Rattus norvegicus: one gene and its partner. Each later gene encodes a partner of the first gene's protein in a complex. Links are inferred from orthologs where the notes say so. Each region holds a gene or a part of one and is shown in the gene's direction. Other genes may lie near its edges.

What was found.
Region 2: Usp39 (region 1) and Txnl4a share a complex: the UniProt entries of both Homo sapiens proteins name them as parts of the U4/U6-U5 tri-snRNP complex. The link is inferred for Rattus norvegicus from reciprocal best matches to the Homo sapiens genes USP39 and TXNL4A.

The regions. Positions count from the first base shown.
Region 1 is NC_086022.1:105,946,500-105,961,647, reverse strand, and holds part of Usp39 (U4/U6.U5 tri-snRNP-associated protein 2), read left to right. Parts: intron 1-265; 5' UTR 266-334; intron 335-338; exon of another isoform or gene 339-366; coding exon of another isoform or gene 367-622; intron 623-699; coding exon of another isoform or gene 700-806; exon of another isoform or gene 807-1,105; intron 1,106-2,885; 5' UTR 2,886-3,222; coding exon 3,223-3,487; intron 3,488-5,199; coding exon 5,200-5,269; intron 5,270-8,224; coding exon 8,225-8,319; intron 8,320-10,339; coding exon 10,340-10,476; intron 10,477-11,052; coding exon 11,053-11,205; intron 11,206-12,330; coding exon 12,331-12,556; intron 12,557-15,148. Other genes in the region: C4h2orf68 (UPF0561 protein C2orf68 homolog), read right to left, coding at 504-622, 700-806.
Region 2 is NC_086036.1:75,939,780-75,954,572, forward strand, and holds the end of Txnl4a (thioredoxin-like protein 4A), read left to right. Parts: coding exon of another isoform or gene 1-120; exon of another isoform or gene 121-730; intron 731-6,695; coding exon 6,696-6,799; intron 6,800-9,744; coding exon 9,745-9,916; 3' UTR 9,917-10,094; downstream 10,095-14,793. Other genes in the region: Naa12 (N(alpha)-acetyltransferase 12, NatA catalytic subunit), read left to right, coding at 1-120. UniProt on the Homo sapiens protein: Plays a role in pre-mRNA splicing as component of the U5 snRNP and U4/U6-U5 tri-snRNP complexes that are involved in spliceosome assembly, and as component of the precatalytic spliceosome (spliceosome B complex).

The DNA.
Region 1 (15,148 bases):
TCTCAGCTTAATGGTGTCTTATGGGTTCAATGAGTCAATGTACTCAAGATCTAAACCCTCTGTAAACAATAGCCCCAAAACTTGGTGTCATATGTTAGTTGTTAGTAAACGTGAGCTCATGGTCACAGGAAACCCGACAAAAGGCCATTTACTGGGGTCACTTCATTTTATGTACTGGTCGTTTTTTCTGTTGTTGTTGTTCAGGTTTTTTTTTTTTGTTTGTTTGTTTTTGTTTTTAATCTCAGCCAGACGTTCTCTCTTCCAGGTGGCAGAAATATTAAAACACAGCATGACAGACCACACTGGTGGACAGCGATTCCTGGCCGGGTCCCAGGTACCTTATGTAACAGTGCTGTTTAACTGGGGTCACTGGCCTTGGAGCGGAGAAGTGGGGTCGCTGACGTTGATGCAGTGGCCTCGGTAAGGGCCGGGTGAGCAGGAGCCCTGACGCAAAGAAGAGGGGCTTGCCCTAGGGGCGGGGCCGCGAGCTGGCGGCTGCTCACCTCGGTGGCGCGGCAGGTACACCTGTAGGTCTGGCTTGCGGGGCCGCGTGGGCGCGGGCGTGTGGCGCCTCCTCGCCTTCTCCTTGGCCGCCTGCTTCACCTTCTTGTCGTAGTCGTCCCTGCGGGGAGCCGAGCGGGAGTCAGGCGCTGTCACCCGGCCGAATCGGGCCGGGCCGGGCCTGGGGCGGGGCGGTACCGAGCGATCTGGTTCCGACGGATATGGTGTACGAAGCCGTGGCTCATGTCCAGACGCCCGCCGGGCTTGCAGCACAACCCCGGGCCTGGGTCCCGTGCCGCCTCCATTCGGATCCTGGGTACAGAACCGCCGCAACCGCCACAACGGCCGGGTAATTCAGGCCGCCGGCAGCGGATCAAGACTTCCGGTCGCGGACCTCGACTTCCGGCTCCGATGCCCTTTTTTCCGGTTGCGTAGGGGCGGGTGCCGCGGAGTGTTGACGCTTTCGAAACTTGAGAACCCTCATCTGTTGATCACTGTTAGAGCTGGAAGATCGCTTTCTTTGTAATGTTATCTACACGAAAGAAGGATTATATTCAGATGCCAAGAAATTATTTTAAAAGTTCGAGTCATCCAAGAATACCGAACGTGCACTCTATTAGTTTAGAGATGTTGGCTTTCTTTTCTAGCCCGTTAAAAACTCCATTCTTTAGTACAATAAGCTTCATTATGAGATCAAATATGTGTGTGTATATGTGTTGCGTGTATTTGCTTTGCTCCTATCTTTAAAGCTAGATTCTGCTCACGAGAAAGTTATATTTTGTTATCTCCATCATCTTTGCTGCATCTTCTCTCCTTTAGACCCCTTCCTTGCCTCCTATAGTTCTACACACACACACACACACACACACACAGACGCGTCTAGGTCCTTCATATCGGAAAGAATTCAATATTTGTGATTCATCTTTCCAAATTATATTGAATTCGCTTAACATCTCTAGGTTCACCACTTTCCTGCAAATGACATCATTTCTTTATGGCAAATTAAAAAAAATGTTATATATGCCATTTGGTTGACGCTTTAATCCAACTGTGCCTAAGTGTCCTTATTTTTGTGTTTGTAATGTGTGTAGGCTAGAGGACACCAGGTGCTCTGGTCTGTATTCCCTTCCTGTTCCTTTGAGATAGGACTTCTCACTCAACCTGTAGTTAAGCTGACAGCCACCAAGCCCTAGTGGTCCTCCTATCTCCACTTCCCAAAGGGCTAGGCTATGTCCACTGTAGGCTTTTTACATAGGTGCTGGGGATTTGAACTCATACTTGGCAGTAAGCATTCTCACCGACTAAACTAATCTCCTCCGTTTGTTTGCTTATTAGTGGACATACTAAAAACATCTATCTCTAATAGGCAATGAGGCAGACAAGTGCTCAGGTATGCAAGTTTTCCCCACTCATACCCAGACCCTATTTCAGCCATATTGGGGTTGCAGTGCTAGAGCCCAGACCACTTGCTTAACTGTCCATGGCAGGAACCAAGGCCATAGGAGGGTCTAATAATGAATAGCCTTTTCTTCTTTCTTTCTTTTTGGTATGTAGCCTAAGATAGTCTTGAACTAACTATGTAGCTCAGTTGACCTTAAACTTTGGGATTCTTTTTGCCGCAGCCTACGTGTATAGTTTTTCAAATCTTCAGTTTAAAATGTCAAAATCAGAAACCTGTCATTAGAGCAGTGACAAAGTCTAGTACATCTGTTTGATGGGATATTATAATGAAAGTAAAGGAACAGACTATCTTACACCAGATGTGAATGAGACCTGGTTAGAAAGAGGAAAAACCAACTCATACTTGAGCATAAAATCCAGGAAGGGGCTGGAGAGATGAGATGGCTGAGCAGTTAAGAGAACTGACTGCTCTTCCAGAGGTCCTGAGTTCAATTCCCAGCAACCACATGGTGGCTCACAACCATCTGTAATGGGATCTGATGTCCTTTTCTGATGTGCTGAAGACAGCTACATCATGTTCATATATAATAAATAAATCTTAAAACAAAAACAAAACTCTAGGAAATGTAGTCACTATTTTGGTTTGGGTGGGATTCCACATGGGCACAAGGACATTTCCGGAGTTCTTCTCTTGATTATGACAATGGAGCTGTAAGTGTTCACACATCGAAATTTAGCAAATTAGACACATCAAACGTGTACTGTCCTGTATATCAATTATACCTCGATGGAACTGTTCAAATAGGCAAGGTCTAAGGCATGACTCCGTGGTAAAGCTGAATTTGAAGTTTTATTAGCTAAACAATAAATGCGTAGAGTATTTGCAAACTCCTTATTTCAAGAGCCCTTTAAATATGTTACTAATTGAAGTTCCAAGGTACAAGCCTGAATGAAGGAGAAATACTGATTTTTTTTCTGTTTAGGTCATCAGTCCCTGATCATGGGGACATCTGTGGATTGTCGTTTCGAGACACAAACTATCCTGAAGATATCTCGGGTTGAATGCTAGCTTCGTTTTTCCTACAGTCAACGTAGCCTATGAAAGGTTCTATTTAAGCTGTGAAGAGAAGATGGATAAAGGACACAATATGTTCAAAACTATCTCATTTGGGCCAGCAGCACCTATAACGTTTTATAAGCTTGTACTGTCCCTCACAGCGACTCGTAGCGAGCTGTGCTTCTGAAGCTAGCTCGGCTCTTGATTGGCTGCTTGCCTCCCGTGCGCGGCGCCGGCGCGGAAGCTCCTAACCGGTGGTGGCGATGTCTAGCCGGTCCAAGCGGCAGTCTCATGGTTCTACCCGTGGGAAGCGCGAGTCCGAGTCTCGAGGTAGCTCGGGTCGCATCAAGAAGGAGCGAGACCGCGAGAAGGAGCCCGAGGCGGCGAGCTCCCGGGGTAGTCCGGTCCGCGTGAAGCGGGAGGCCGAGCCGACTCCGCGAGAGGTCCCGGCGCCCGTGCTCCCGGTTGTGCGGGTGAAGCGTGAGCGTGAGGCCGACGAGGACTCGGAGCCCGAGCGGGAGGTGCGAGGTGCGCGGGGCCGGGCCGGGCGCGACCTCCCCTTTTGCCTGCTTTCTTCTCTCTCCTCCTACTTTTTGAGACAGGTCTCAGAAACGTGAAGCTGTAACCAGAGATGATCTTAGATTCCTGGTACTTTGCCTCCCTTTCCTGAGATCTGAGATGCCCAGTTTTCATCTGCATTTTACTTTTCCTTCCTACCGCCTCCTTGCATGGGTTTGAATCTAGACTGGACTGCCTTCAAATGAAGACAATTCTAAACTTAAACGTTGTCACCATACACCACAGCTTCTTCCCGTTATTGAATGGCTCATGTGAGTCAGGTGCTCTGCTGATAGTTGTACAGGTGTTCCCCTCACCGTTTTCTATTTCCCTTCAAAATTCCTAAGATTCAGAGCCAGGTTGTAATTTCTGGAACAAGGCTGTTAGTCGAGTGCACCCGACTAAAGTAGTGACTTTGTATCAGTTGAATAGTTCAGAGACGCTTCTGTTTCTCCTGGGTTTTGCATGGGATTTCTATGTTGTCTTGTAAAGGATGTTGATGTAATGAACAGCCTTGGGAGACAGATTGTATTATTCCATAGAGCAAAAGGGAGTAAGGTCACATGAAGGTATAATTCCCTTAAGGGCAGGGATCTTCTATAATGTAACCCACTGTGAGCACTGGCTCTTTTTCTGTTCTAGTGTGGGACTTAACTCTAGGATCTGGCAAAGATGTCATATAATTGGATATTGTTAGTCGCTTTAATAGACTCTTTGGTTTAGTCTGTGATCGTGTGCCTTCTGTCAGCATCCATGAAGCTGTAGCAAGCTAACACATTAGAGCTAACTTTAGAGTTAGCACATTAGGATTAACTCTCAGAATCCATCACAGTTCTTGGACTAATGGTAGATTTAAGGATGTTTAGACTATCTTAGTACTTGTGATATATTTCATGATAACTTTCATGCCTATTTGATATTTATTTATTTATTTAGGCAGGCTCTTAATAAATAGCCCTGGCTGTCTGGAACTTTTTCTGTAGACTTAGGGATTTCACCTAGCCTATCCTCTCAAGGGTTAGGATTAATTGTGTGCACCACTATACCTGTATGCACATACCATGGTATACATGTGGGCAACTTGTGGGAGTCAATTCTTTCTTCCTACCCTGTATGTCCCAGGGAGTGAATCCAGATAGTTGGGTTGGTGGCAAGCCCCTTACTAAGCCATCTCACTCGCCTGGATTCCTTTATGTAATATATAAGTTAATCTTTTGTTGGTTATATATGTAATAGATCTACTCTTGGTTTGTAACTTATGTCATTAGTGGCCTTTTTTTTTTAAATGTTGTCACTAAATGAAAAGTACAAGCTCATCTTACTCTCAGTGATCAGACTTTCCCAATCTCAGTGATCAAAAACTTTCCCAATCTCAGTGATCAAACTTTCCTAATCTTAGTGATCAAACTTTCCCAATCTCAGTGATCAGACTTTCCCAATCTCAGTGATCAGACTTTCCCAATCTCAGTGATCAGACTTTCCCAATCTTAGTGATCAAACTTTCCCATTCCTGTGATTTTTGTTTTGTTTATTTGTTTTGTACCTGTGATTTGAGGAGAGCCTCCTGTCGTCCATTTATGGTGCTGGAGCAAATCCTGCCTGTGCTAGTTAAGTGTTCTACCACTGAGTTATTTTCCAGCACAAGTTTCCCATTTTAAAGCCTGTGATGGATTTCTTTTCAGCAAAGAATGGCCGAGTGGATTCTGAAGACCGGAGGAGTCGTCACTGTCCATACTTGGATACTATTAATAGGTGAGTGATGTGAAAAGGATGAGGAAAGTCTTGGTGATGTATCTTAGTAGTGAGCACTTGCCTGACAGGGCAGAAGTCCAAGGTTTAATCACCAATACTATGCGAACAAACAAAGTCAGTGGATTTTTTAAAAATTTATTTTATGTGTATTAGTGTTTTGCCAGCATGTGTGTGTGTGTGTGTGTGTGTGTGTGTGTGTGTGTGTGTGTGTGAGTGCACCAAATCCCCTGGAAATGGAGTTATAGACAGTTGTGAGCTGTCGTATGGGTGCTGGGAATTGAACATCTGGAAGAGCAGCTAGTGCTCTTAACTGCTGAGCAATCTCTCCAGCCCCATATGTAGATTTTGAGATGCAGAATACAGTAGAAAATTCTCTAAACTGAGCATTGAAGAATACATTCAAACCTTCCTCCTTTTATGCCTGTCTGCCTAGGAAATTGTGCTTCTTGACATGTTCAGTTGTGTTGTTCCTTTATAGTGACAGTGCAGTTTTTTTGTTTTTTTGTTTTTCGGAGCTGGGGACCGAACCCAGGGCCTTGCAGTTGCTAGGCAAGCGCTCTACCTCTGAGCCAAATCCCCAACCCCAACAGTGCAGTTTTTTTTGTTTTTGTTTGTTTGGTTTTTTTTTTTTTTTTGAGGTGTGTGTGTGTGTGTGTGTGTGTGTGTGTGTGTGTGTGTGTGTGTGTGTGTGTAAAATCTCTGGCTGTCCTAGAACCCAATCCGTAGACCAGGTTGCCCTTGAACCCAGAGATTTGCCTGCCTCTTGTCTGCCTCCTGAGTACTGAGATTACAGGTGTGGACCACAACACCTTTGAAGATACTTGAATATCAGCTTCAGCACATGGGTTAAGGGAAAGAGCTCACTATAAAGTAAGACACACTTAACAGCACGGATGTGGGGTTCTCAGAGAAGTGTTGCCTTTTGTTGTTATTTATGTGTGTGTATCCCTGCACAAGTTCATGTGCATCATGTGCATGCAGGTGCCTGTGGAGGCCAGAAGAGGGCGCCAGTTCCCTTTGAAGTGAATTTATGGGTGGTCGTAAACTGCCCAGTGTGGGTGCTACAAACCCAACTCTGGTTGTCTGCAAGCACTCTTAACCATGCAGCCATCTCTCCCAGTCCCCAAAGTTCTTGTTTGCTTGTTTTTGTATGGCAGAGACTTTATCTTGTATATTCTTTGATTTTCAGTTGTCCTCAGCCTATCTTCTAGAATGGTGCTGTCCAATAGAACTCTCCACAACAGAGAATTTCATTTTAAGATGTTGGGTTTTTTGTTTTGTTTTGTTTTGTTTTGTTTTGTTTTTGTTTTTGAAACAGGTTCTGATATGTGGCTCAGGAAGACATTGAATTCTCAACTCTCCAGCCTCAGCCCCGAGTGCAGGGGTTATAGGTGCCCCACCAAACTCATCAGCCATTGCTCTCAATAGGGGATGTTTGCTGTGGGAAGCACAGGCTACACAAGGCTCTTGATGACTTGACATATGGCTCATGCCCTGGAAGCACTAATTCATTACTTTGCTTGTGGTACTGGAAATCAAATCCAGAGCATTTATGCTGCACATACCTTACCACTGAGCTACACTTTAGCTTAGGAACTAAATTTATCAATAACCACATATGACCAATGGTTCCTCAACAGTATAGCTGTTAATATTTACTATGGAGTCTCACATTTGTGGATTCAGTGGACATAAAAGCTTTTGGTCTCTTTCTGCTCAGCACTCATACTGTGGCTCTGTGTTGTGTTAAACTTCTTCAGCTGCTTGCTTTCTCATTCCTCCTCTATCCTGTGGTTTTTCTCTCTTTTTCTTTTTTTGGTGTGGTGTGCTAGGATCTTGTGCTTGCTGGGCAAGTACTTTACCACTAAGCAAAACCTCCGGTCCTTTCCTTTTCAAATTCCCAAGCTTACCCCCTCCTTTTTTTTTTTTTTTTTTTTTTTTTTTTTTAATAAACAAATAAAATTTTATAGCCAGGCATGGTAGTAAAATGTCTTTAATCCCAGCACTCAGGAGGCAGAGGCAGGTGGATCTCTGTGAGTTCAAGGCTAGTCTAGTCCAGAGCCAGTTCCAGGACAGCCAGAGCTACATACAGAGGAATCCTGTTTCAATAAACCAAAAATAAATAAGTAAATAAATAAAATTTTTATTTATTTTTGAGCCAGAATCTCACTGTGTAACTCCAACTAGCTTGGAATGCAATGTGCAGACTAGACTGGCCTCAAACTCGCAGACGTCCACCTACCTCTGCCTCATTAGTGCTAGGATTAAAGGTTTGTGCTACCATGCCTGGCAGATTCTTTAGTCTTTAAAAGGATGTGTCCTTTCCCAGTGCTGTTGGGCTCTTATTTTGGTCCTATTTGTTGCTTTCCCTGCAAAGAATGTGAAGATTCTTTTTGTTTTCCATGTCTTACTGTATAACCGAGGCTGGTTTGGAACTGTTTATGGCTAGAGCAGGCCTCAGACTTGCAGGCTTCCCGACTCAGTGCTAGTGTTGCAGGAGTGAGCCACTGTGAAAAGGTTGTCTTTTATATCCGTCAGGTGAGTGGAACCAGGATTCCCTGATATATGCCAAAATCTGGCTGTTCAAGTTTTTATAAACTGTGGGTTAGTATTTACATATAATCTATGTAGATTACTAACCCCAAATACAGTGTCAGTGCTATGTAAAATCGTTGTCATGTTATCATTTAGGGAAAAGCCTATTCATGTTTAGTGCAGATCCAGCTTTTATCTTTGCCATATGTCGATCCATGGTTTTTGACTCTAATGAAAAAGTGTGTTCTGGGCATTTGTGTTTGATGCAGACAGTTTGAGCCTGCTGTGGTGGCTGGGTAGAGGTATGTGGTCTATGTGTAGTTGCTACAGCATTCTCTTGTGTGTGTTGGTGGGGCAGCATTGTGGGACACAGAGCCAGTGCCACCTCACCCCGTCACTGTTCTGTGCTCTGTCTCTCAGGAGTGTGCTGGACTTCGACTTTGAGAAACTCTGTTCCATTTCTCTCTCGCACATCAATGCATATGCCTGCCTGGTGTGTGGCAAGTACTTTCAAGGTAAGTAAATGGGGAGAGAGATAAACGTGTTAAGTTTGTGAAGCTGCCCCCTTTCCCCCTCATCTTTATTTCCAGGAAACTGGAGAAGGTTCCCTCCTTCATCAGAGTTGAGCACATCTGGAAGAGAGAAAGATCTGTGAAGAAAGACCAGCTCTCCGAACAATGAGTTTCTAAGCTTCTGTTTACTTTTTCCCCTCCCTTCTCTGCCATCCTTCCTTTTGGTATTGGGCATTGAACCTAGGTTCTCAAACATGCTGGCAAGTACTCTACCACTGAGCTACATCCGCAGCCCCTGGGTTTCCAAGTCTAGTGTTTTCTGTATTTATAGTTTTATTGTTTGAGATGGGGCCTGAGCACATAGGCCAGGCTTCCTTGAACTTGAGTCTCCTCCCCAGGTTTCCTCATGCTCAAGAATACTTATGTATTTAGTTCTTTTTGGAAAATGTATTATTTTAACTCATTTAGACCAAGGGAGTAGTAAGAACATTCATAGTCCACTGGTGATGTGATTTAACTTTATTATTTTGTGTTTGTGTGTGTGTATGTGTGCACGTGTGTGCACACATGCGCATGCCTTTGTGTGCTTATATAGAAGTCAGGACAGGGTGCAGGGGTTCTTTTTCTACCATGTGGTTCCAGAGATCAAACTCAGGTCACTAGGCTTAGTGGCAAATGCCTTTACTTACTGAGCCTTTTTGACTTCTCCCCAATGTCAAGTAAGTGTGTGTATTTGTAGACAAGGTCTTGATCCTCCTGCCATCTCTCTACTGCTGAGATCACAGGTGGCACCATGCCCAGTCTGCCTGCCTGCCTGCCTTTCTTTCTCTCTTCCTTTCTTTCTTTCTTTCTTTCTTTCTTTCTTTCTTTCTTTCTTTCTTTCTTCCTTCCTTCCTTCCTTCCTTTCTTTCTTTCTTTCATTCTTTTAGGTTAGAATAAGAAGTGATGGGGTTTTTTTTATGCATGTTCATATGTTGTTATAATTCATTCTTTTTTTTGTTTTTTATTTTGTTGTTGTTCTTTGAGACAGGGTTTCTCTATATATCCTTAGCTGTCCTTGAACTCACTCTGTAGACCATGCTGGTTTCCAACTCAAGAGATCCCCTGCCTCTGCCTCCCAAGGGCTGAGATTAAAGGTGTGAGTCACCACTCTCTGGCCTATTTTCTCTTACAGCTCTTCTGCAAAAGGATTCGCATGGGCTGAAGGAGAGCAATATTTTAGAGTGCTGGAGGGTGATACATACATACTATTATCCAAGCTTCTCAGGAACCTTAGGTGGGAAGATAGGAAGGTGGGAAGTTGAGACAGCTTGGGAACCTAAACAAGACCATGTCTCAAAATGGAAGAGTCTGGGTGGTAGCCCAGTGCTAACTCGAGAGTGTGTGTAGAGTGCACAGAGCTCTGGGTTAATCTCAGTGCTACAAAACAGTAGAAATCACAGAGGGCAGAGGACATGGGCACATGTCCTGAACATGGGTGGGAGGCCTCAGGACAGGTACAGCTAGGTTTTTTCTTTTTTCTTTCTTTTTTCTTTTTTTTCCGGAGCTGGGGATCGAACCCAGGGCCTTGCGCCTGCTAGGCAAGTGCTCTACCGCTGAGCTAAATCCCCAACCCAACAGCTGGGTTTTTTAACGTATTTGTATACTTACTTACCAAAAATGTATTTTCGACTGTTCCTAGTTTATTTTTTTTTTTTTTTCCGGAGCTGGGGACCAAACCCAGGGCCTTGCACTTCCTAGGCAAGCGCTCTACCACTGAGCTAAATCCCCAACCCCCCTGTTCCTAGTTTTTGATGCACGTGAAGTTGGTTTGTGTCTACTTTATATTGAAAGTGATTCCCTAACTTATATCTTAATGCTCTTTCTGGTTCTCTTTGTGAGAGAAGTTTATGTAATTAATTTAATGGAAGGTGTAGGGCTTTGTTTTTGCTTTTAACATGTTTTACACAAAATAATGAAATGGAGCAAACCTGATTTGTGCTTTCTAGGCCTTTCTCTGATAGCCTTTTTCCTTTCCCCACAGGCCGGGGTTTAAAGTCTCATGCCTACATCCACAGTGTCCAGTTCAGCCACCATGTCTTCCTCAACCTCCACACTCTCAAGTTTTACTGCCTTCCTGACAACTATGAGATCATCGATTCCTCGCTGGAGGATATTACAGTATGTTTCCCAGGTTGCTAGTAAGAGGCACGTTGTTTTGTGAGCTATCTTAAGGATTCCTAGAGAGTGCCCTACAAGAGGTCAGGGATGTATTTGGAGGGAGAGTGAAATGGTGAAATAAATTCAAGATTTCAAAGTAAGTTCATGATGATAACTATGTGACCAAGAAGACTCCATTCTTGCCCACACAGTCCTGGGGAGGCTTGAAATCTTAGTGCCAGCAAAGAAGGGGGTGCTCCCATTTTTGAGCTAGATACATATGACACCTCATTGGAGACTTAGGATTATAGTCCTTAGGATCCTGTGGTTTCTGACAGTCATTGATCATGGAACTGACCAAGTTGTAGGGTTGAACACAGACCTGAAATTCAGTGATTTAGGGTTAGACGTGGAACTCCGTGGATGAGTGCCGTGGAGGGCTTACTTTGTTAACTTGATCTTCATCCCTGGCTGGGGCCTTAGGGTGTGTAGTGAGGCATTCATGACCAGGGTGTTTTTATTTTGGGTAGGAATTGCCGTTCTGGACATATCTTAGAGCTTTCTTACAACAACTTAGAGTTTTCTTTTGCTTGGCAGTATGTGTTGAAGCCTACTTTCACAAAGCAGCAAATTGCAAACTTGGACAAGCAAGCCAAATTGTCCCGGGCATATGATGGTACCACTTACCTGCCAGGGATTGTGGGACTGAACAACATAAAAGCCAACGACTATGCAAATGCTGTGCTGCAGGTAGGCTCAAGAGAGAACACTGGGGAGGACAAACTGGAAGCAGTGCAAAGGTCACCAGGAAATTACTGCTTTCTTAGAGAGTGCTGTCAGAAGGTCTGTCTGAGGACACTACTTGAGCATTTGTTCTGCAGCCAGCAGAACACTCCTCTCTCTCTGGTCAAGGGGGTGGCTGCCACATGCTGAGAGATTTTTTTTCAGCCTCTAAGTTATGGCTCCTGAAGTTTCCAGGTGCTAACAGGTGCACCTTGTCACAAGGCAATGCCAAAACTAAACTCGATGCTTATATTTGCATTCCTTTCCCTCCCGCTTCCTCCTTCCCTTCCTCTTCCTTCCCTCCCTCCCCCTTCCTCCTTTCTGTGTATGTGTATGCACTATGTGGGCATGTACATGTGTGAGTGCAGGTACCGGTGGGCTCCAGAGAAAGGTGTTAGATCCTCTGGAGCTGGAGTTACAGGCAGTGCTGAGCTGCCAGACATGGATCCAGGAGGTCCTCTGCAAGGGCAGGATGCAGCCCCAAATACATTTTTTAAAAGTACTTTTTATGATTTTGTTTTTTTGTTTTTAAGCTAGGGCCTTGCTCTGTATCCCAGACTGGCCTGGACTCACTACATTGTCCAGCCCGGCTTCACACTTGTGGTAGTTCTCCTGTCTCAGCCTTCTAAGTGCTAGGATTACAGAGTTACTGTGCTTTTCTTTTAAAGTCTTTCTGGGTGTACATGTTCACTAAGTGATTGTCAGCCTTTATTTTTTTCTTTTAAAATATTTATTTATTTATATAAGTACACTGTAGCTGTCCTCACACACACCAGAAGAGGGCATCGGATCCCATTACAGATGGTTGTGAGCCACCATGTGGTTGCTGGGAATTGAACTCAGGACCTCTGGAAGAGCAGTCAGTGCTCATAACCATTGAGCCATCTCTCCAGCCCGTCAGCCTTTATTTTGTGTGACTCAGTGAAGGACATTTTACTGAGCTCTGGAAGCATTTTCAGAGGGTCAGTTTCTTTTGGATTTTTTAAGGCCATCCTAGACCTGTCACAGGCTTTGTCTGAGTGTTAGCTGGAACAGCTCTTCACAAGAGGTCTTTTAAGGGGCTTTGGGTTAACTAGAGTGCTTGACTTACAGGCACTATCTAACGTTCCTCCTCTTCGGAACTACTTCCTGGAGGAGGACAATTATAAGAACATCAAGCGTCCTCCGGGGGATATCATGTTCTTGTTGGTCCAGCGTTTTGGAGAGCTGATGAGAAAGCTCTGGAACCCCCGAAACTTCAAGGCACATGTTTCTCCTCATGAGATGCTTCAGGCCGTCGTACTTTGCAGCAAGAAGACTTTCCAAATTACCAAACAAGGTGAGAAACAAGTCATCCTCCTCTCTGACTTGAGGGCAGCATATCAAGACTGATGAACACATTCATTTCCACTGATAGGAACCGAAGGCACTGTTTATGGATAGTGGGTTAGGCTCTTTATTCTTTTCTGATCAGTCGGTTTTGTGTAGAGAAACCAAAGACATTGCAGCTGAATGACTACAAACTGTGTCATCTGACAAAATAATGGCGTTGCTTATGGGGAACCTGGGCACGGACCTGTTAGTGAGCAGTGGCCACCTGTGCTACCCACTGTCTGGCTCCCCCCTGGGAAACTGTTGGCTCCGTCTCACCTCTCAGAGCCTGCTTCTGACTGCGTCTTCTGTAGTGCCTGTTTTGAGAAAAGGACTCACTCTGGAGCCCTGATTGTCCTGGAGCTCACAGTGTGAACTAGACTGGCCTCAAACTCAAACTCCACCTGTCTCTGTCTCCCCAGTATTGGCTCATTCTGTACTTCCCTTTTCTTGCAGAGTTTTAGAGCTGTGGTGATAAGGAATGTGACCATTTTCTTCTAGGATCTCCTTGGCTAAGTGGGGAAGGTTATTGTATAGGAAGGTAGTCAGAGTGTGTTAAGTGCTATGACAAGAAAAAGCAGAGGCCCTACTTTGTGGGAGCTTGGGACACAGACCCAGCTGAGCATCTGGAAAGGGTCCTGAGTGTGAGGCAGAGCAGGAGGAGGCGGGTTGGTGATAGGTGTGCCCGTCAGGCAGGCATAGAGGTGCCAGTGTCTAGTTCGGCATGCACAAAAGTGTCTGGCACAGAGAGTAAGTAGTCATATTGTAGATTCCAGGGTCAGTGGAGGATCAGGGTACTAGCTAGGAAGGAGGATTTTTTTCAGTGTCTTTGTAAAAAGATTGGATTATATCTTAACAAGGTTGAGAATTAGTTGACACAAAAGTGTGATGTCAGATCTATGTTTGAGAAATATTATTCTGACTGGGCATGGTGGTACATGTGTATAATCCCAGTACCTTGGAGGTGGAGACGAGTTCAAGGTCACCTTTAGCTTTATGAGGTCTTTTCCTCAAAATCCAAAAATATAATTAAAACTCCATTATTCTGATAAATTACTTAAATAGAGGGAAAGTTCAGTGACTTGCTTTTTAAAAAATTTTATTATGTTATGTGTGTAAGTGTTGTGCCTGAATGTATAAATCCGTGTACCATATGGGTGCCTGGTACCTGAGGAGGCCAGAAGAGGGGTCAGATTCCCCACAAACTGGAATTATAGACAGTTGTTAGCTGCCATGTGGGTACCAGGAAACAAACCTGGGTTCACCTGAAGAGCAGCAGGAGCTCTAAAGTGCTGAGCCGTCTCCAGCCCTCTCCACACATCTCCCCCGCCCCCTCTCTCTCTTTCTTTCTTTGATTTCCTCCTCCTTCTTTTGTTTTTTTGTACAAAGACAGGGTCTCACTATGCAGCCTTGGCTGTCCTGGATCTTACTGTGTAGGCCAGACATGCCTGGAACTCACAGAGCCACCAGCCTCTGCATCCTATGTGCTGGAATAAAAGCATGTGCCACCATGCTTGTCTCTCAGAGTCTCGGGAGGTCAAGGAAAGGAGCACTAGGGAATGACAAGAAGATAAGGAGCGGCTGATACTCTTGGGGTTTAGGATTTTAGGATAACGGAGAGAATGGTTCACTTGGGAATGGACAGTATATGTTGATCAGAACCCCATGATTTATTCCCAGTTGAGCAGAAGTTACTAAGCCTTAGCACAGTGTTTCACAGTTTGCAACAAGGCCAGTAACACCTTACACTTCTGAACGGGGACAACTACCTCCTGTTCTAGAACCATCAGATTCCAACATCTAGATTCATAAGTCATTTTGTTTCTGGACCAACTCTGAGGTTCTTTTGATTTTTTTTTTTTTTTTCTTTTTTTCAGAGCTGGGGACCGAACCCAGGGCCTTGCGCTTGCTAGGCAAGCACTCTACCACTAAGCTAAATCCCCAACCCCTCTTTTGATTTTTAAGATTTGTTTTATTTTTAAGTGTGTGTATAGGCAGGTGGGTATGTGCATGTGTGTGCATAGTTAAATGTGTGTATGGGCAGATGTGCATGTGTGTGCAGGTGTTCTTGGATTCTAGAAGAAGGTGTTGCATCCCCTGTAGCTAGGGTCACAGGCAGTGGTAGGCAGTCCACTGCGGATGCTGGGAACTGAACTCAGGTCCTCTGTGCAACCAGGGACTCTTTCGTTTTTTATGTCAAGGCTGCAACAAGATACAATATTTTTGTAGAGAAATCTATTTTTTGTGCCATGGCTGGTTGTATCTATCAGTCTTCCCTTTAGCTTTCAACAGCTTTGCAAAGTTAAAGCTTAATTGGTTAGAGAATTGCAGAAAAATCTTAACTCTAAGAATAAACTTATGCTTGCCTAGTTTCTTCTGTCATAGCATAGTTTGTGTTGTCAGTGAAGCACAGTTTTCTCAAGTGTCTGAGACATGGGTATTGTCAGTTGCTTAGATGTATGTGGTGTCTATGGAGTAGTTTTTGCTATGGTTGTAATTAAAGGGTGGGGTGTGTGGAGGAAAGTGATTTATAGAGTTGTCAGGCCTTTGGAATCAGGTA
Region 2 (14,793 bases), on another chromosome or scaffold:
CTTCCTGGTTCTGAAGAGGCCTGTCAGCAGGAGAACCTGGCTGTAGGCGACAGTGGCAGTGATGGCAAAGACAGCACTGATGTCCAAGACAGCTTGCAGACCTTGGGGTCCGCCTCTTAGAGCCTGCCTGAGCACTACAGGTCCTTGTAGTTTAGCCTTATATTGTTCTTGGGAACCTTGCCCTGCAGTCCCTGCTCTGTGACCCGAATGGCTCTCCTTTCGCTGCTTAGCAACCTTCTGCATAACCTGTGTGATCATGGAGGCACACCTAGACAGAACTGTTGTGCGGGAGTCAAGGAGGCCTGAGGACTGCCGTGCAGCCTTTCTTGGCTTCTTCATGCTGCCATCAGATTCTGTTCGGTGCTGTACTGTTTGTGTGTATCCCGCAGGTTTCCAAAGCCTGGAATGCCAAACAGGAAGTGGGGACAACTTGAGAATACCCCAGTGTTCTGCCTTTGCCAGTGTTTTCTGGGTTTTCCTTGGAGTGGAACCATCAAGTTAGTCCTCATGCCCTCTGCCCCGTGGGGAGTTACCCACTCTTGCTTTCTGTGGGGAACTGCCTGGCCCTGCCCTCCCTCCTTTTGAAGAAGAATGTTCCCTTTCCTGGTCAGAGATGGTAATGGGTTCTGGACTGATACAGGAGCAGAATTTGTAGATCTTAAGGAAAGGACAAGCAGAAATTAAATTGCAATCTCTAACCTGAACAAATAAAAATATATAAGAAGGAGAACACGTTTATTGTGGGAATTGATTGGTTAATCCTTCTAGTGCTTCGAGTTTAGTCCCAAGGGCACCTCTGTGGAGGTAACACATTCCACCCTATAGGGCGTCGGGTTGAGCTGAAGAGTTATAAAACAGCCGAGGTTTTCATTTTTGAGAGGACATGATTCCTCTTACCAATTTCTATATTTGGGGGGCTGGGGAGTCTGGCTGTAAATAATCAAAATAATCCCCATTCTTAACTTTGGTGGCATTGATTGGTAGTTAATTTTGAGGAAGGCAGGTTAGTCTTCCCGTTAATTTTTTTTTTTAATTTTAGCTTTGTTGTAATGTGTATGAAATGAGTATTTCTGCTTTATGACATTTAAGATGTTGGCAGGCCATTACAAGAGGGCAGAGTAAGCCAGTGGTAAGGCTCCCTCTGGCAGGCATATCTTGAGTTCTAAGCCTGTCCAATCTACTTAGCAAGTCCTAGGCCTGCTGGGACTACAGGGTAAGATCTTGTCTTAGCAAAACTACCAGGAAACTGGGTTTTGGTTTGTGATGATTCCACCTTAGCCCCTCACCTCACTGCCTGCTAGGAAGAACATCTGGTCCATGTCTTCATCATAGCGTGAAGGCCGCCTGACACTTTCCTTCCCTACCCACCTAATTGTCTCTTCCTGTCTTGCCAGGAACTTCCTCACCTTAGTGTTTTCCATGGTTACCCTCCCTCAGCTTCATAAGCAGTTTCTCCCGTCTTGCCCAGGAGTCAGTCACAGCTTTTTAGTTCTGTCTGACTTGAGTTCTCAGGGACCTCAGTACAGGTGCCTCCTTGTTGATTGGGCTGGTGTCTGAAATTGCAGTGCGGGCCTTACACATGTTAAGTACATTGGCTGTGTCACTGGGGGGGGTTCCTCCTAGCCCTCATGCTTTCTCCTGTAAAGGGTTCTACGCTAACACTGAAGTCCCAGCATCAACACCTGAGGTGCTCGGGGCTGGTCAGAAGCAAATGGTGGCCATGAGGTAGTCTCTCCCAGCCCAACCTCAAGTTGTACCAAGCAGTACTTAAAAGCCATCGTCAGGTTCCTTTCTTGGCACCTACAGAGCCTGGCCTGTGTCTAGGACCTTGTGAATAGGCGCTCCAAGAAGAGATTCCTAATTCTGCTTTCTCATCCAGAAGCTAGACAATGAGGTTCGACTGCTGTCTTGTGTCTGTCTTTTTCTTTCTCTTTTATTGTGTTTTGAGACGGTTTCTTTGCATAGCTGACCTTGGAACTTACTTTGGAGACCAACTTAGGCCTCCCAACTCAAGAGATCTGCCTGCCTCTGCCTCCCAGTGCTCGGATTAGAGGTGGTGCCACTGCCCAGCTCTTTCTGTCTTTATAGGTGGAGTTCTCTTTACTGAATGACGCCCGCCCTCCACAGTTCTGCCTCCACCTCTTCAGGCAGAACAGTTTCTTCATGACTCAGCTCAGGAATTCTCATCCAGGGGCATCTGGGGCAGACCTGGGTGCAGTTTCAGCTCTTTTTCCCCTGGGGCTTTGAACCTTAAATTCTTGGCATGTGAAACACTGACATGGTCTCAGACTGTTGAAAGAATTAGAATTCATGATCAAGAAGCTCCTTGTCTGTGGCAGGTTCTCAGACACTGAGCCAATCTGCCCTGAAATGTTTATGTAAGTCCTTAGAGTATGTATGTTTGACATGGAGTCTTTGTCTGATGATGATGGGCCGGACTAAGCTTGAAGACAGGAGAAACGTGTGTCTTCAAGCAGGTTGGTGTTTATAGAGTTGCTCTCCCTGGTAGCTGAATGTCCCCATATTTAAACGGTTTTGTGGTTGGTACGTAAACTGGATGATCTTGGACAAGTTGAACAGAAAATGGAACACAGCCTCCTGATCTGATGATTCTATGGCCTCATCTTCTATGGTGAGCAATTTTATTTTTAAATAATACCAGGATGGAATGTGTTTACTATGGAAGCTGGGAGCTGGTGACCTGGCTGATGATTTCAACATGGATGCTGTGGGAAAGCAGTTTTCAGTGAACTGAGATCTAACTAAGGCGTGCACGAGGTGAGGGAGTGGAGTTCATGGTTTCTAGTGATTAATATAAACACATCCCTTGCGCCCCATGATGTGCAGATGGTAACGCACACACGTCCTTCATGCACCATGATGTGTACACGGCACGTACACTTCATGTGCCAGACGTGCACAGTGTATCATGTACGTTGAAGTCCTTGTTAAGTATAAACTGTCACTTTATGATTTAATTTCCTTGCTGACTTTTGGAATATTGCCAGCAATAGAGTGCAGCCAATGCCTGTTACACTGTCAGGGTGGCAGTCTTGAACTCACCTTTGTGCTGTACCACTGGAAGCAGATCCCAGGCGACAGACAGGTTACTCCCCATAAACTAAGTTACCAAACTGGATTTCTGGGTGGGGTTTGTAGTTTTTGATGTTCTGGAAACCCAGTCCAGGGCATTGCGTATACTAGGCAAGTGCTCTACCACTGGCCTACATATAAGGCGAGAGTTTGTTTTTTGCAGGTAGCTTGGTGGGGGAACACACTGGGTATTGAACCAAAGACTTTGCACATGTAGCAGACACTAAGTTCTGTGTCCAGCCTAGCTGGTAGGTTTTAGGATTATTAGCCATGAAGAGATAAAGGAAATGGGTGTAATGGCGGGTGCCTGCCATTTCAGAACTTGGGGAACTGGAGCAAGAAGACCACAAGTCCAGGGCATGACTGGGCTATAACATGACTTAAAGGCCAGTCAGGGAAATTTAGTGAGACCCTATTTCAAAATAAAAGAAGACAGGTTAAGTTCTGTGGTAATACGCTCACCTAGTAGGCATGAGGCCCTGGGTTCAATCCTGTGCCCCAAAAGGGAGAACACTAAGTAAGGTATTCATAGTCAGGCGAGGTTGGTCCACACGTAATCCCCGTACTCAGAAGCAGAGGATCACGTCAGGATCCCCTTGGACTACAGAGCAGGTGTGAGGTCATCCTGGGCTATATGAATAAGAAGATCCCATCTCAGACAAACCCAAGTGAACAGCCTGTGTGTGTGTGTGTGTGTGTGTGTGTGTGTGTGTGTGTGTGTGTGTGTGTGTGTGTGTACACAGGCACCATAGTCGACTCCCTTCGTCATGCAGCTCTGTCCTGAGTACTGAGGCCTAAGTGTTGTGCAGTCTTTAGTCCTCACCAGTACTGACACCTCAGGGATAGCAAAGCTACTCGAGAGAACATGGAGCCAAACCTGGAGATACTTGTGGTGTGACCTTGTGCCAGCTGGTGCCTCACTGTCTCTAAGGGCAGCATGCTAAGGCTCCTCTGAATATAAAATGAGATAATATGTCCAGGAATAAGGAGGCTGGGTGTACAGCAAGGCAGCAAAAGTATTTGCACATAAGCCTAATAACCTGAAGTCAGTCCTTGGAACATCTCCGTGGTGAAAGAAAACTCTCCTGATGTTGCCCTCCTGGCGCATGCTGGACATACCCCGCACCCACTGTACCCATGGTAATCCTCTCGAATGCTGGGCATACCTCGCACCCACATGTACCCATGGTAATCCTGGTGCATGCTGGGCATACCCCGCACCTACACATACCCATGGTAATCCTGGCACATGCTGGGCATACCCCACACCTACACATACCCATGGTAATCCTGGTGCATGCTGGGCATACCCCGCACCCACACGTACCCATGGTAATCCTGGTGCATGCTGGGCATACCCCGCACCTACACGTACCCGTGGTAATCCTGGCGCATGCTGGGCATACCCCGCACCTACACGTACCCATGGTAATCCTGGCACATGCTGGACATACCCTGCACCCACACGTACCCATGGTAATCCTGGTGCATGCTGGGCATACCCCGCACCTACACGTACCCATGGTAATCCTGGCACATGCTGGACATACCCTGCACCCACACGTACCCATGGTAATCCTGGTGCATGCTGGGCATACCCCGCACCTACACATACCCATGGTAATCCTGGCACATGCTGGGCATACCCCACACCTACACGTACCCATGGTAATCCTGGTGCATGCTGGGCATACCCCGCACCCACACGTACCCATGGTAATCCTGGTGCATGCTGGGCATACCCCGCACCTACACGTACCCATGGTAATCCTGGCACATGCTGGACATACCCTGCACCCACACGTACCCATGGTAATCCTGGTGCATGCTGGGCATACCCCGCACCTACACGTACCCATGGTAATCCTGGCACATGCTGGACATACCCTGCACCCACACGTACCCATGGTAATCCTGGTGCATGCTGGGCATACCCCGCACCTACACATACCCATGGTAATCCTGGCACATGCTGGGCATACCCCACACCTACACGTACCCATGGTAATCCTGGTGCATGCTGGGCATACCCCGCACCCACACGTACCCATGGTAATCCTGGTGCATGCTGGGCATACCCCGCACCTACACGTACCCATGGTAATCTTGGCACATGCTGGACATACCCTGCACCCACTGTACCCATGGTAATCCTGGCACATGCTGGACATACCCTGCACCCACATGTACCCATGGTAATCCTGGTGCATGCTGGACATACCCTGCACCTACACGTACCCATGGTAATCCTGGCGCATGCTGGACATACCCTGCACCCACATGTACCCATGGTAATCCTGGTGCATGCTGGACATACCCTGCACCTACACGTACCCATGGTAATCCTGGCGCATGCTGGGCATACCCTGCACCTACACGTACCCATGGTAATCCTGGCACATGCTGGGCATACCCCGCACCTACACGTACCCATGGTAATCCTGGCGCATGCTGGGCATACCCTGCACCCACATGTACCCATGGTAATCCGTTTCATCTTTCTTAAAGGAAGATGGGAAGTGGGGAATCCCTGGGTTGGTTTGTTGGTTGGTGGCTCCTGGTGCTGGCTTCAGCTTGTGTGCACATCTCTGGTGCCCATGTTCCCAGTAGCTGTCATGTGGTTTGTCCCTATAAATAGAGCAGTGGCGGAGTGGGGGATCCACCTCCTAGCCTAACCTCATGACCAGCTTCATCCATAGTGACCCTCCTAGAGTCACTTCTCAGTTCGGGGGTTAGGAATCGAGACTTGGGGCAAGTGGCATGTCTATGACATGTCTAGGTCGTGCCTTTATATAGTGCACAGAGCATATTTAAGGAACGCATCACTCTGTGTCTAAGGCTGCTTTAAGGTTTATCCTTAGGAAGTGTATACATAAATTTAAAGTCAATATGCATAGTAGAATTATTGATGCTCTTCGGAACTCAGCAAAGAAATAAGCAAAGAGTGTTCCAGCCGGCAGCTAAAGAGCGTCTTTGGTGGACAAGGATGCCTTTGGTGGAAGCAGAATACAGTATGGCCATCTTGTCAAAGTGCTAGAGTTTTAGAATGAATCTAGGAAGAGGTAGGGAGAACTTAGCAAAAACGTTAACAGCAATGGGATTTAGGGTGCTTTCAGTCTTTTTAAAAATTTTTATTAAACTGATACATTTGCACTAGAAAATTGTAATAAATTGTAGAAAATTTAACATGTGGAATAATAACTAGTAGTGTTTGCAAGCATTGAAATGAGCAATTAGGGGAGAGTGGATGGTTGAGTTTGATAACATGGAATGAGTATTTGTAAGTACAAACTTACAAAAACTTAGAAAACGGCTCGTTAGTAGGCAAGTGAGAGGGCTGTGGGCATTTCCTGCAACACTGTTAACTTGATCATGAGACAAGTTGAGTTCTTAAGTGACTTGGAGCTGGCAGAGAGCTGTGAGTAGCATTGGTCAGAACCTGGCAGGACCATGTGGTTTTTCTTCATCAGCTCTGTGGGACAAATATTTAGTAACTGGTTTGAAAAAATGCCCAGTTACACAGTCTTGTTTTTTGTTTTAATTTACTTTTATACAATGAAAACCAATTTTATCTTATTTTGGTTTTTAAAATCTCTTTCCAGGTTAAAAATTTTGCAGTTATTTATCTTGTGGATATTACAGAAGTACCTGACTTCAACAAGATGTATGAGCTCTATGACCCATGCACGGTCATGTTCTTCTTCAGGTAGGCTGTCTGAAACTGCTGCTTAAATAGAGCTCTGTTGGGCTGGAAGTTTGATGGGACAGACAGATCCCTTTGCTCAGAAGGAAGTCAGTTGTGCAGTTTGAGTCTTTTAAATAGTTGTAAAGTACCAATTCCAATTTTAACATCCACTCAAACAACAAATAACTCTTGAAATACTTTCCAGAAATGGTTGTGAAGTGTAATTAAATAGACATTCTTTCAGGCATTTAAAATACCTTCAGATAAAATCTGCTGATGAAGAAACCTTTTAGAATACAGCTTCACTCGCTAGATATTGGCACTGACTTTATGTGGTGTCCATTGACAAAATCCAAGAAGGAAACCTGAGCTGCTTCGCTCCATGCACGCCCAGGTTGTTTTGTGAGCTTCAACACTCCGGTAGGAATTTGGGAAGACCTCTTCATTTGACTGGTTCTACTCATCAAAAGTTTTTCTCGTAATTACTAAAGAAGTTGGTCTATAGTCATAGACCTCCAAAGGCGGTGTCCAGATAGAAAGCGGAGTTGTGTGTTTGATCTCATGCACAGGCTTAGCGTAAACTGGCTCTCGTTTGTGAGTTAACAGCTCTGAGGCTGAGGTAAGCAGGGTCTCAGGCGTGACCTGTGGGCTGAGTGATTGCAGGTGTCTGAGGCTTTTCTTCTTGCTGCTGTTGGTGGGAGCCACTCTGCTCTTTAAGGCTCCTCTGTCTGAGTAAGACAGCATCCATTGTCTGTCACAGTGAGCTTTTCGCACAATCCTCTCCTTCTTAGAGGGGGGTTAGACTAGTGCGAGTTGGGTAATCACAGTGATCTCCTTTTAGAGCCAGCTACTGAGGAGCTTGGCCCGTGTCAGGAATGTCCTGTGCAGTGTCACAGCAGAGGTCCCAGGGACGGGCGGTATTTTAGGATTTTGTCTATTATCCTTGAGACTGTCCTTCCCTTAAAGCAAGCCAGGACCCTCTCCCAGGTCTCCAAGGACCCTAGAGACCCCACTCCTGGGACCAGCAGGTCACAGTCCTCATTGTCCAGATCACCCAGTCAGTTGCTCTGAGGTCTACAGCGTGACCCCTGCCCTGTGAAGTTGTTCCAGCTCAGAGGGATTGGGCAGAAACAGGGAGCCTCTTCCCCTTCCACCTCCAACACCCCACACCTGCACACACAGCACACAGGGCCAGACAAACTTTAATAAGGCTCAGTATTACACTCCTAGCTGCGTGCTCCCCCTGGGAAGGGATCTAACCAAGTCTCCTTCATGACTGATGCTTGCAGCTGAGCAGGTTGACCAGCTCTTTCAGCCACAGTGGGGGCCATTCTCTTCTTTCCACAGTCTTCTCTTCCTCCACAGTTGCTGCCTGCGAATGTTCTGGCCTTCAGCACTGTGCTATCTGAAGAAGCTGCGAGTTTAATTTTCTCACTAACAGTCCTGAGCCCACTCATCTCTGTCCTTTACGGACAGAAAGAAAACAGGCAGCATTTCCTTGTTTGGAAATCTCTTCTGCTAAAAAACAAGTTCAGTTAACAAGTTCTGCTTTCCATACAACTATAGGACACAGTAGTTCCTTCCCAGTGTGCAACCAAAGTCCCTTCCTCTTTGTGAGAAACAAGGCGCTCACTTCACATGGGAGAGAGGGACTAGCTTAGAGAGACAGCGACAGGCATGGGAGGAGGTTGGAGGAAGCAGTGTTGGTGTGTGGGTAGGGACAGCCGGTGTCTTTGAGGTCATTAGGACAGATAGTGGACTCAGAAAAGAAGACAAATTTCCTCCTTCTTCTGTGATCCAAAGTTCTAGAACAAGAGTCAAGAGTGGTCAGTTTATATCCCAGTGTACCTACCAGGTACACTGAGTACCTACCAGGTTTTACTCTTAGGACTGGGACAGAGTAAGAGAAGCCAGGCTCCTCTTTACAAAAACCCTTTGCAGAGATAAAACTGACTGAAGCCTGTCAGAATCACACAGGGTTCCCGGGTATACAAAGTACTAGTCATGTCCAGTGTGCTTACAGAGAGACTAAGCCATAGAGCCCAGTAGGGCTGCTGTGCATGTGGGTAGGAGGAGGTGTGGGTGTCCACCCCCTTCCTGGGCTAACTGAGGACATGGAATGCTCCCTGGGAGTGAATATTTGACATATGTCATGTCAAACTGACCTTTTCACTGCTCTCAGAACCAGTGGGGCGTGGTCATGGGCTATAGTGGAAGCCAGTGTGTGATTCCATAGAAGTGATCCCATAGTGTTAGACTAATAGAAACAGATCTTTAGAAACTTGAAAAAATTCATGCAAATTCAGTAGGGATTAATATCTTTATTCAGAAAGTACAAATGCAGGTTCCTAAGTGAGGGAAAGGCCTGTCCTCTGAAGGGTGAGTGGCTAAGGACTGTTTGCTTCTCAGTCACAGCATACCAGGTGGGCAAAGCCATCATTCTCAACCCACGGTTACAAAGCGTTTGGTGAATCTGTACCAAGTCCCTGTGCACAAAGCATGAGAAGGTCACAGGCTTTTTCAGGAAAATTAGAGCACCTCGGGAAAACTGCTTGTCTTTCAGAACGATACAGCTGTCTTTGACCTTTACAGTCCAAGATACGGATGCACAATTGCAGGGCACAGCGGTGCATGCCCTCAGTCTAGAACTCGGGAGCAGGGGCAATGGGGTCTCTGAGTTTGAGGCCAGCCCTATCTACAAAGTGAGTTCCAGGACAATCAGAGATATGTAGAGACCCTGTCTCAAAAGAACTAAATTATATATGTAAACAAATGCACAGAAAATCCAAGAAGAGTGCAGAGTTTTTCTATAGAAAATTATATTTAGTGTTTGTCTTTATTTTGTCTTGAACTGTGGACTCTCTGAGTGGTCTGTGCTCTTAAATGGCATTACAGGTGCTTAGGCCGCAGAGAGACCAGACGTGCGTGGGGCTCTCTGTGAGCATCGCTCTTCTCTTCTCTTTCAGAAACAAACACATCATGATTGATTTGGGCACTGGTAACAATAACAAGATCAACTGGGCCATGGAAGACAAGCAGGAAATGGTTGACATCATAGAGACCGTGTACCGTGGCGCCCGCAAAGGCCGAGGCCTGGTGGTGTCGCCCAAGGACTATTCCACAAAGTACAGATACTGAGCACTGACTCAGGCTGTGCACAGGACACTGGGAGCCTCTTCTGGCTAGACAGACTCTGCTCTCATAGCCTCGGGAAAGGGCCTGCAGCAGAACATGGCCTTAGGGCTGGAGGAGCCTTGAGATGAGTTACAGGGGCCTTAACTACCTGAAGCAAATAAACGTGAAGGAACAGTAGGAATCTGCCGTGTGCTTTACTGACTGTAAATGTCTTCACTCTCAGTGAAAGCGTTGTCTGTCCCATGAGGCTGTCAGGTTTTGCATCTTCAAGTGGTCGCTAGAGCTGTCAAGCAAATACCACAGATAGGGTGGCTTCCACAGACATTTCAGCTGTATGGTTTTCCAGGTCTGCACCTGAGGTGGCTGTGTTCTGGGTTCCATTTGAGGCGTGGGCTATCCATAGTAACCCCTTAGCTCTGGAGGTTATTAGCCGTCCTTGGTGAACCTTGGATTGAGAGTACATTATCCCAGTGTTTGCCATTTTCCTTACGAGTTGTGTATGTCATGTGTACGCATGTATATGCCAATCTCAAAATATTCATAGTTATAAGAATACCAGTCACATTGTCTGAGGGGCCCACCTCACTCTGACAACCTCATCTTAACCAATTACATATGATAATCACTTCAAATAAGGTCATGGTCTGAGATTCTGAGCTTAAAACATCAATATATTGATTTGGGGTGACAACCCTTAAGAGGACCCAGTCTTACTCTTACTCAGCGTATAAAATAGCCCTGGAATCCAGGTATGATGCACCCCTGCTTCCCGCCGAGGCCAGACTGCTGCGCTCAAGACAACTGCAAAAATAGCAATTGTCTGGGGCTTCCCTTCCGCGAGTTGTCCTCGACTCTTCCCCCATTTGTCTGTGTCATACTTCCTAAGGAGGCAGGGTCCTCATTTCACTCAGTACAAGTCCCCTTATCTATTCAGTTTTCTCTTGTTTCTTCCTGGCAATGTGGAGGGACCTGGGTCTACCCTCTCACCTCTCTGAACACAAACTCAGAAGAGAAAGGTCAGCATCTGAGGAGCTGACATTGGACAAGCTCCTCACTGACTCGGGCAGGCCTCTGTACCTGTCTCATCCGTCTCCATAGTACGCAGTGGTGGCCACTCACTGGACACCTCATGGGCTCTTCATAAGTTGGCCCGCTGTGAAAACTCAGGAGTGAAGCAGACATCTTACCTACAATTAAACGCACTTGTCAAATGGACTAAGCCATGAGTCTAGGGCTGGGATGCTGCTTGGTGGTAGAGTAGTAGTCCTAGCTTGCAAAAAGTCAGTCACAAGCCCATCTGCAGTGGGATGTCTAGCACTAATGTGCCCATTAAGGAAAGTAGTAGCTGGGCATGGTGGTGCACACCTTTAACCCTAGCACTTGGGAGGCAGAAGTAGACATTTCTGGTCAAAAAGCCAGTCTGGTCATCTGGTTTACATACTGAGACCCTGTAAGGTGGGGCGGTTGGGGACAGGGAGTTTAGCTTCCCTCACTGGCCATGGATGGCCCCAATCATTGTTCTTGATTCCCTACATAAAGGGAAACTCCGTATGGCGCCCTCAAGAATGTCCTTAAGTTCGATGTGACAGGAAAACGCTTAGGTGGTACAGCCTTGCTCTCCACATGTAGATGCAGAGCGCTCGCACACATGTGCACTTGCACATCTACTGAAGGAAAAGTAATGCTGTGTACATCACAAATGTGAGCGGGCCTGGGTGTCTTAGGGTTTCATTGCTGTGAAGAGACACCATGACCAAGGCAACTCTTATATTAAAAAATAAAGATAACATTTACTTGGGGCTGGCTTACAATTTCAGAGGTTCAGTCCATTATCAGGGTGACCGCATACTCAAAGACATGGTGCTAGAGGAGGAGCTAAGACTTCTACATCTAGATCAAAAGTCGAGCAAGACCGGACTTGGCTCTGCAGGAATCCAGGAGGAAGGTCTCATCTGCACTGGGCAAAGCCTGAGCATAGGAGCCTCAAAGCCCAACCCCACAGTGACGCACTTCCTCCAGCAAGGCCACACCCACCCCAACAAGGCCACGCCCACTGTAACAAGGCCACACTTACTAACTGTGCCACTTCCCATGGGCCACGCATATTCAAACCACCACATGGGAAACGCCTTAGAACCGAGTCAGCTTTAAGTCGCTGCTGGTATAACTGTAGCCTATGCTGAGGTTTGCGCTGCCATTGAACAACTTCACTCCTGGGACCTTCACTAACTAGATCCAAGGAGCTTTCCAGGGACCTTTGGTGATGGATACCAGGGCTGACCGCCACCCTCTTCCCAGAGGTGTTTCCTGTCAACCTGCCTACCAACGCTCTAGGTAACAGATTCTCCTCTGCACTATGTAGACAGTGCCATTTTCGTTCGAGCTCCCTCGATGGGTCTACTGACTGTGGGCCGGTGAGCAACGTGGGAAGCCGTGCCTGATGTCTGCAGAGATCCAGAAGAGAAGGGAGAAGAAAAAGAAGCTGCCACTGAGAAGGCTGTGACCAAGGAGGAATTTCAGGATGAATGGCCTGTGCTAGTGCCTGAGTTTGCTGCTGCTCAGGAGAGGGTGACAGACCGGTCTGAGTGTTCAGGTGCCCTTCCTGCCTGTCTGGCAGAGCCTCACTGAAGACTGGAGTGCCAGCCGCTTAGGGCTGGACTGCAGCTCCCACTGGTCAGCCACTGAATGGAGTCCAACAGCTACCAAGTGCTCACAGAAAGGTCAGCAACTGTACAGTCTTTACTTTTACCAGGGGTAAACCCCTGCAGAGTGGAGTCTCTGTGAGACTCAGAGTCCACAGTGCTTGGAAAGTTACAGTCCAGAAAGGCAGGGCCCCACACAGAGGGTGAAGAGTTCCCCTTTTTAGCCACAGTTGACCATTGCTAGGGGTTAGAGCAGTGGCTCTCAACCTTCCTAATGCTGTGACCCTTTAATACAGTTCTTCTTCAAGATGTGGGGACACCCAGCCATAAAATTAGTTCATTACTAACTCATTGGATTAGCGCATCATTAAAAAGATATCAGGTTATCAATATACATCTTTCCTGGCTGACCATTACTGGGGTCCCCCAGGGCAGGGCAGTCAAGAATCTAGAGAGACAAGTTGATTTACTTCTAGAAACCAAATTACCATAGTTAGCCATAGCTGTTCTCCAGACACTTCAAAGTGGAAAGGTGGATGGGGAACGGTTTCTAACTAAACATAAATCATATAAAACACAGTAGAAACTTGGGCATCGTGGCACATAGGTGTGATCATGGCCCTCAAGAGATAGAGGCAGGGGCAACTGGAGCCCACGGCTCTCAGAAAAGCTAAAAGTAAATAAAATGGCATCCTAGTGGTATAAGATCTAGTGTTTTGTTTTAAATCTGCGCCCCTGAGCACCTGGCACATAACAGACATTGAAAATATTCTTGAATACTTCAAAGATGGGAAAATGGCCAGAAAACAGAAATACTCAACACCACCATTCAGGAGGGAGAGCCACAGCTCGATTCTACTTCTCCTCCACTGGAGCGATGGCTTCACAAGTCGGGCAATACCAAGTGTTTGTGAATATGGGGAGGAATTGGAGTCCTCATCAACTGCTGGTGAGACCATCTCGCCAAGTCCAATGTGATATTATAGCTGCCACTCCTAGGTTTAGACTGAAGAAAACAGAACAAACATCCACACAGAAACTTGTGTACAGTACCGTTATCCACAGCAGCAAAAACGCGGAAGCCCAGGTGTCCATCGCTGGGTGAAGACTGGCAGACAGGGAAGTCCCCGTGGACAGAAAGTGGGTTAGTGGCTGCGTAGGACGTGGGCATGAGGTAGGAAGCTGCAGGGTGTCTTTGAGATGATGAACGTGTTTTAAAATCACAACACACAACGTGTGTTAATCACAACGTGTTTTAAATTGCACAACAAATTAAGGCCATGCCATTGTTTACTGTGTGGGGTAAATGGTATGAAGGTATTACAGATAGTAGCCTTCCGACGTTAGGAGAGAAGAAGGGTGGAAACCTGTCCGTTCCACATTCCTTGTTGATTGTATCCCTCCTGCTCATGGCCTGCTTAGACTCTCATAACAGAGTGAACAGACTAAACAACAGAAATGTATTTTCTCAGTTCTGGAAGAACAAGTTCGCGGTTCTGAGACAGTTGAGCTTCAGGATACTGGCTTGTGGAGGACAGTCTTCTCACCGTGCCCTCATGGGCTCTCCTTACTGTGCACACTGAGAAAGAGCCAACTTCTGTCTCTTATGAGGACACCAGACCTACTGGATGGCGGGGACTGCCCTTGTAACCTCATTTACCCTTGGTTACTTCCTTAGAAACCTTTCCAAACACAGCTGCACTGGGGTCAGTGTATAAACACACCAGTTGGGGTATATAAATATTGAGACTGTCACAGATACAGAAGTATCACCCAGTGACCCTCCTCCCTGGTGCCCCGGGCTGCAGAGCAGTTGACTTGATCACCCATTCGAGCTGCAGCTGAAGGCAGCCGTGGCAACCTGGAGATTCATCCCCAAACTTCCCAGGATGCCCTGTAGGCAAAGCCTGGGGACTGCTCAAGATGAGGAGTAGGCTTTTGAGTAAACCCAGAGGGGTCAGAAGGAGGATCCCATCAAGACTGCAGAGATAAACAGAGTGGCCAGTGTGTACAAGGAGAGAGGCAGCCAATTGCAGCACTGTTGGGAAGCCGCACCAGACACAGGCGAGAAAACAGACAGTGGCTGTTGCATAGCACTGAGTAGTCGGTCCAGAGGCTCACGTACCCAACCGGTGAGCCCCATACAGCGAACAGCAGGATGCAGAAGGCTGTATGTAGGCTGCCTGTGCATACAGATCAAGACGAAGACATAACATGTTGTGTTTGCCCGTGCAGTCT